2 linked regions of the Drosophila melanogaster genome follow. The protein of the gene in region 1 purifies or fractionates together with the protein of each later gene. This does not show direct contact. Each region holds a gene or a part of one and is shown in the gene's direction. Other genes may lie near its edges.

The links. Proteins that work in one complex are often made in the same cells at the same time.
Region 2: the proteins of Gprk2 (region 1) and Gbeta76C purify together in Drosophila melanogaster (affinity purification with western blotting, with the first as the bait; one study listed by BioGRID). This does not show direct contact.

What each region holds. Positions count from the first base shown.
Region 1 is NT_033777.3:31,403,166-31,406,916, forward strand, and holds the start of Gprk2 (G protein-coupled receptor kinase 2), read left to right. Parts: upstream 1-2,079; 5' UTR 2,080-2,791; intron 2,792-3,751. Other genes in the region: PNPase (polynucleotide phosphorylase), read right to left, coding at 1-710, 771-1,190, 1,247-1,392. UniProt on the Drosophila melanogaster protein: Specifically phosphorylates the activated forms of G protein-coupled receptors. Required during oogenesis and embryogenesis; component of a signaling pathway that functions during egg chamber maturation.
Region 2 is NT_037436.4:19,685,821-19,689,571, forward strand, and holds the start of Gbeta76C (G protein beta subunit 76C), read left to right. Parts: upstream 1-1,816; 5' UTR 1,817-1,907; coding exon 1,908-1,976; intron 1,977-2,397; coding exon 2,398-2,843; intron 2,844-2,897; coding exon 2,898-3,099; intron 3,100-3,238; coding exon 3,239-3,368; intron 3,369-3,451; coding exon 3,452-3,538; intron 3,539-3,731; coding exon 3,732-3,751. Other genes in the region: CG8765 (uncharacterized protein), read right to left, coding at 1-71, 138-826, 975-1,116, 1,175-1,415. UniProt on the Drosophila melanogaster protein: Guanine nucleotide-binding proteins (G proteins) are involved as a modulator or transducer in various transmembrane signaling systems.

The sequences.
Region 1 (3,751 bases):
CATAGTGCAGCATAAAGTTCTTGGCCTTCAGGCCACCGCTATCTAAAGCAGCCAACGAGTCAAGTTTCATTGCGCTTTCCTGCGAGTCCAAGCTAACCGTGCAGAAGACCTGCGTCTGACCGCGCTGGAATAGGGCGGATCCGTGGAGAGGCTTGTACATGTCCACCTGGCAGGAGATGTTCCTCAGCTGGTCGTAATCTCGTCCATCGCAACGCAGACCCCGCTCAAAGATCAGTTCGCGAAAAATGGTTCTACTGGTCTGGTTGAACTGCTCGGTAATAAGCGACGGTTCGGTATCCGGAAACGAACTCCACACCTTGTCAATAACGTTGGAGCGCACCTCGTTAACCGCATTGTCACGAGACATCTTGTCGTGCGTCGAATCCTGGAAGATCTCTCTCAGCCGCATTTCGCACATGCTACGAACGGCTTTCCCCAGTTCGGGATCTACTTCGGCAGCCACTTCCACTTCGCGCTTCTGTCGACCATAGGCCTTCTGCAGTCGCTCGATCTCGTGGATAATGAATTGGGCCTCACGAGTCCCTTGTTTGATAGCCTTTAGAAGGTCCTGCTGAAGAACCACATTCCCCTTGCCCTCCAACATAACGACGAGGTTTTGTTTGGTGGCGGAGACTACCAAATCCAGTTGCGAAGTCTGCAGCTCCCGGCGCGTGGGGTTGATCAGCACCTCGCCGTCGCAGAGGCCAACGCTTTGTAGGATTAAAAGAGTTATAAGCGGTTACCAGTTAGATTCGTTCGTGAGTACTCACCGCACAGCTCCAATGGGTCCATTCCAGGGAATGTCACTTAGAGATAGCGCCATGGAAGCGGCATTGATTGCAAGCACATCCGGACTGTGCACCGCGTCCATAGCCAACATGTTGCACACCAGCTGTGTCTCCGTGCGATAATCTTTGTGGAAGAGCGGGCGTAGCGAACGGTCGATAAGGCGGGCGGACAGGATCTCTTTTTCCGAGGGGCCCAGTTCGCGGCGCATAAAGTTCATGGGTATTCTGCCAGAGGCGGCGTTTTTCAGTCGGTAGTCAACCACCAGAGGCATGAATCCCTGGCCGGGATTTGGCTTCGCCTTGGCCACCGCGGTGACCATGACGGCGGTATCGCCCATTTGGCACACAGCTGTTCCATTCGCAAATCTCGCCAGGCGGCCGGAACTGAAGGTCATGTTACGTCTGCGGAGGATTCAAGACTTTGCTATTGGAACTCGGAGTGGAGGCCACGAACTCACCCATTGCTGAAGTTGACTTCCACGGAGGGCGCTTCTCCGTTGGAACTGCTTTGGATTCCTCTCCTTCCTCCTGGGCAGGACAAACTTAGGCATTTGAGGCGATAGTTGAGCAGCTTCAGCGATTTCCGTGTGAAAATCATGGCCATTACCTAAAAGTGCCGGGTGATTCCGGCTGAGGCGACAGTTCTGTACGCTGTATTTTCATGGTTATTTAAGAAATAATTAGTGGTCAAAATCTTACAATAAAAGCCCTGTACGTTTCTTGAGACTTGGAAGTTAGACTTAGAGCGCCTCAACTATTTGTATTGTTTAATTCAGTTATCTCAAAACTAGAATGCCCATTTAAAACAAAGTAGAGTGTGCAACATGTGTGCGTTCGGCGTTGCCACCTGGCAAGGGTAACAACAAATGAATTATATAGACAAACTATTACACGGATTATGTCTTAGGAATAATGTAGTAAATATTAATACAGCGTATTTTAAAAAAATTAATTTCGTTTCCAATAAGATATTTAGAAGGGTTCCCAGAAAATGAACTATTAGCTTGTGTCCCCGATAATGTCAAATTTGCAGTGCTGCCAACTCTTAGCAATGTTAGTTACAGCATGCAAGAAACAGCATTTAAATTCCTTTTCAGAAACGAAGAATTAAGACGGTATGTTCTGAAAGGTCCTAAAACGACCAACAGAATGACGCGACGATGTCCAAATCGCCAGATCTAAGTAATTCAAGCTAGCTAGAAAATAGCTGAGGCATCAGCACTACACAGTCCGCCAAAATTAGTCCGTCTTTTTACGCGTTTAGAGTTTTTTACCGCGAGTCGAAGACGTCTTTCACTAACTCAACGACGGTCTTACAGAAGACTCCAATATTTTTCGAGCAGGCAATTCGCGGATCCATCGTTAATTTTGGGCACTTGCAGAAAGCCCAGTTGCGAACGTCGTCGTGTGTCGTCTTAGAAAAGCCACTCCTCCAACCGGAAAACCGCAAGAGCGTCGAGCCCTTGTTTTGCGAGCCTTTTCGAAAAAAGCTGGGAATTTCACGCCGTATTTTTCGTATCTTTTCCGTCAACGAAACGCCGCGTGTGTCGTAGTGTGCGTGTGTGTGTTCTGTGTGCCCGCCCATCTGTGCATGTGTGAGAGCGCGCCTGTGTGTGTGAATTTTGGTGAGAGCCGCAACAACAACCGAAAAGAAAACCAAAATCGACAAATGCGGTCAAATTGAAAAGAAAAACAAAAAATCAAAGAGTATTCTTGCGCAAAGCCAAAAGGCAAAGTCAAAAAAGAGCGCAAAGCCAAAAAAACGCAGATTTCCCAACGAAAAGGCCGGAAAATTGCCCACTAGGCGTGTCGCTGCTTCTTCTTGTTCTTTCAAATTGTTTATGCTGCAATTGCAGTGGTGTGCGAAAGGAGTGGTAGAGAGAGAGAGAAGGAAAAGCGTCTTATCAACGCCCGCTTTCTTATCAGAACCCACACATTTGTTGCGAAAATTCCAACCAGCCGAAACTCACAGTGAAGCTTTAAATAGCACATCAAACAAACAGGTAAGTCTCATTAATCAGCTTGAAATCACCTTATTTTCTACTGCTCCTCGGTGGTCACAACTCACTGGCTGTTCCCCTCCTTTGCACTTAAGCACTTAACGGTAACTGTAAATTACACACACGTTGGCCTTGTCTCTCCTGGCGATTAATTGCATTAATGCCGCAGGACTCGCGCCATCCCTGTCACCCCACGCCAATCGATTAAAAAGTGAAAGCAATCGGGAAATGCTTATCAGTAGGTCCTCCTTCTTTGCTTTTTAAATGCATAAATACCCATGCACAGATGCACACATGCAAGCAATCAGCCCAACAATGCACTATATGAATATTTATAGCTCATTATTTATTGTCTCGCTGTTCCCGTCCATCATTTGACCCGCTAAAGAGGGCAGGTTGGTAAATAAATGAAAAGTTATCGAGATAATCGGTGGAATTGTTGGATCATTAATAATTTGTTTATTTTTTAGTTAACCTCTGACAATTTATCAATGACTTAGTAGACATAAGTCAGCTTGTTATTTTTGCATTTACCAAGATATCCGGAAGTAACATCTATTGCTCACACAAAAATATATTGGGCATTCACAATAGTGATGACTCACTGCCATGCGTGTTCACTGATTATTTTGACTTCTAAAATCATACATTTTATATTTACGTAAAGTTTTCAGAGCTGATATAAACATTAATTCAAGATATTTATTTATTAATCACTTGCACACTACTTCCAAAATACTGTACGTTTTATGCAAAATGTCGGAATAACATCAGAGATGTGATGCACAGGAAAATTCCCCATAATTCATGAAACCTATTTCCAAAATTAACAGAAAACTATTTGCGGTACTCGAACTCAAAATCTGTATTTTTATAGCACGAACATTGGAAAAGAACGCAAACCAATTAGTGAAACCATTTTGAAATCACCATAAATCAGCGTGATTGCCTGGCAATAAATTC
Region 2 (3,751 bases), on another chromosome or scaffold:
TGTCCTCAATCGCTTGTGTTCGCGTGCGTATTGGTCCCTTAAAGCCTTCCACTTCAGTCGACACTGTTTCACTAAAATAGTTAATGCTTGAAAAATCATCTTCATCCTTCGGCTGTTTAAGTTTATCAACCACATACCCGACTTCTTTAGTTTTCTGGCGATTTCCTCCCACACCTCCATCTTGAGCTTGGCATTGCGATAGTTCTCGTTGCCGTAGTTGTAGATCATGTCTTCCTGCTGGATCAGCGTGATCAGTTCCTTTTCGAAGTAGCTCTCCATGTTGAGAAATGTGTGTATGGGATCGTCGTCCTCCTCCTCGGCGTTCGTCGATTGATTGTGCGCTGCTGAAGTGGTGGATACATTAGACGTGATTGTTGCTGCCGAGCTCGACTGATTGGCGGCATTGACGCAGTCCACTATTTCGTTGTAGAGAGTGTCTACCACCGTGGTTGTGTTGGCGGTTCCACACTGCACTATGATTGATGGAGTAGCACCGCCTCCCGCATCCGTCAGATAGTTCCAGTTCGCTTCCGGCTGCGAGTGCATTTGTTGCTGATGCTGCTGTTGCTGCTGCTGCTGCTGCAGCACGGCTCCAATATGGCTTGCCAAGAAAGTGGCTGCCGGCTTCTTATCAGTTGAACTAGGCGAACTGAAGCTGCAGCTGTCGAGCAGCGTGGATGCACTGGCATCCTCAATTTTAATGCTGCCGGAAAGGTTTAGATTCTGGCTACTGCTGTTGCTGCTGAAGGAAGTAGTCATGGGCAGCGATAAGGGGGTCACCGTACCCACGGCGCCATTGGAAGTCTGACCAGATCTCCCTCTGTAACTAAAGAATTGTGGGTTTAATTAAATACGGACATATCATTTGGAAGCCTGAAGAACAGAACTAGTGATAGATAGCTCCATATGCTGTATAGTCTGCATTGGCAGTCAGCATGGCGGTGCCAACTTGAATTGCTCCACGTGCTACTTACTTTCTTGCCAGCGCATATGGACGCAGGAAATCCAGCTCTTTGAAATACTTCCACTTCACTGCTTTTGAGCAGGCCTTGGCGCGCTTCAGCTCCCGGCAGTACTGATCCCTCATGGCCTTCCACTTGGACTTGCACTGGACGTCTGTGGAAATGGGATTAAGTGCCAACTTTTTGGTGGGGAAACTTAAACGTTCACTTACCGGACCAACCCACATTGCTGCCAATCTCCAGCCATTTCTCGTCCTTGATCTTGGTGCTGCGGTAGTGGGGATGCTTGGGATTGTATAGCGACTGCTCCTGGGAGACCAGCGAAATGAGGATCAGCTCCTTGGGAATGCTGACCACATTCTCACCCAGACTAGGATCTATGCTGAGATTCACGTGCTGCTGCTGCGGCTGCTGGTGCTCCTGCAGCTGGTTGGCACATGGCAGCGTCTCCATGGCGCTCCCTACTTGGTGTCCATGCTGGCGGTGTGTTAATATGGGCAATTGTTATAAATAAAAACAGGGAAAACAAAAATGAGGTGACCGAACAGCTGATCCTGGAGAGTTGTGTAATTAGAGGGACCAGTTTCGCCTTGGCTATACAAGCATCTTTTTTACATTGAGTGGAACATCTGGTGGCCACCGACCTGGTCACCCTGAACAGTCCAGTGCTGCAAGAGGCGCACACCATTTCGATAAGTTGGCAGCCCGCTCATATGTTCGATTTTAAAATTTTGGCGCCAAAAAATCGTCTTTCTATACATTTGTATTTAACGGCTAATCCAATTAGCTAATTGCATTACCGCTAAGGAAAAAAGAAAACATCATAACATTCAGGCAAAACAAATTGTTTAACTCTCAGTTTATTGTGCGACGCAGTGCGGTTCAAAACTAGAAACTTTCTTCTGGCAAATATTGCAGCCGTCCTTATATAATTAATGCTCCATAATGCCGAAAATTGACCCAGAAACACAAAAACTCTACGACGAAATCAATGGCATGATACAGAAGTTTAAGGTGAATTAAATAAACTCAACGTACAGCGAAGTAAATTAAAAATATCAGATAATAAATATAGCAACAACAAAAGTAACATAAAAAAGTTTTCCCCATATAAAATAACAATACTCTAAAAATACCGATAGCCAGCTTAAAAAGAAATTCGTTGTCCTTAATTTAATTTTAACAAAAAAATATTAATATAACTTTTTGGAATATGTATGATAATATGATTGGGTTTTAAATATCTTGCCAGATTTCATACTTCAGTGCTAACTACTCCCATAATATTTCATCTCGATAATAGTCGAACACATTATTTCCAATTTTGAAAAAATTAAGTGACTTAACTTAATCGAAAACTGTATGCGTCTCTAACATTTATTCTGGAAATTCTTGTAATAAAAATTGTCATTCATTACTATGATTTTGCTTTCAGGATGACCAAAAAAGCAAGGCTGATTGCACGTTGGCCGATAAATGCGGCGACATGGGGGATGTGCCCAAGATTCGATTCTCATCCAAGAAGATTCTCAAGGGCCACATCAACAAGGTGAATTCGGTGCATTTTGCCGGGGACTCGCGGCACTGCGTCACTGGATCGCTGGACGGCAAGCTGATCATCTGGGACACCTGGACCGCCAACAAGGTGCAGATCATCCCCTTGAGATCCGCCTGGGTAATGACGGTGGCCTTTTCGCCGTCGGGTAACTTTGTGGCCTGCGGAGGAATGGACAACCAGTGCACCGTCTACGATGTGAACAATCGCGATGCCTCCGGAGTGGCCAAGATGGTCAAAGAGCTGATGGGCTACGAGGGATTCCTCAGCTCCTGTCGCTTCCTCGACGATGGCCATCTGATCACCGGCTCGGGAGATATGAAAATGTAGGGCTTTGCTTAACTTTTTGGAGTAAAATCTAAGTTTCCTATGACCAACAGATGCCATTGGGATCTGGAGAAGGGTGTCAAGACAATGGATTTCAATGGACACGCTGGTGATATCGCTGGCTTATCGCTTTCGCCAGATATGAAGACCTATATCACTGGCTCTGTGGACAAAACTGCCAAGTTGTGGGATGTGCGAGAGGAGGGCCACAAGCAGATGTTCTTCGGTCACGACATGGACGTGTCATCCGTCTGCGTGAGTACACATATATGTTTTAATAATAATAGCTTATATTAATTACCAAGAACAACTATAAGCAGCTAATCTATTTAGTACTTGTAATTTAATACAAATGTATTCATTACACCCACCCAATTATCATTATCGGTTGCAGTACCATCCCAGTGGCTTCGGGTTCGCCTCCTGCTCGGAGGACCAAACGGCGCGCATGTACGACCTGCGGGCGGACCAGCAAATCGCCCAGTATGAACCGCCCCAGAAGAACACTGGCTTCACGTCGTGCGGTGGGTTCTCGTTCTCCGTCTTGGTGGAACACGGTCGCCTTGACTTTTGACGGGTTTTTAATCTGATTTTGTGTCCCCACCAGCTCTATCGACCAGCGGGCGCTACCTCATGTGCGGCGGCATTGAGGGCAACGTGCACTCGTGGGACACGATGAAGCAGCGGCACACGGGTGGGTATTGGGAATTGGGTAGTTCGTATTGGGTATTGGATATCCATTGCACTTGGGGGATTCGGTGATAAAGAACGGGGAAATGGAGGCGAAGCTAATGCTCAGGCTGGCACTTGACTTACATCGATTTGCTGACCTTCTTCTCCACTTTCTACTTTCTACTTACCATTTGTCACTTTCCATTCCTCCACAGGCACACTGTCTGGTCACGAG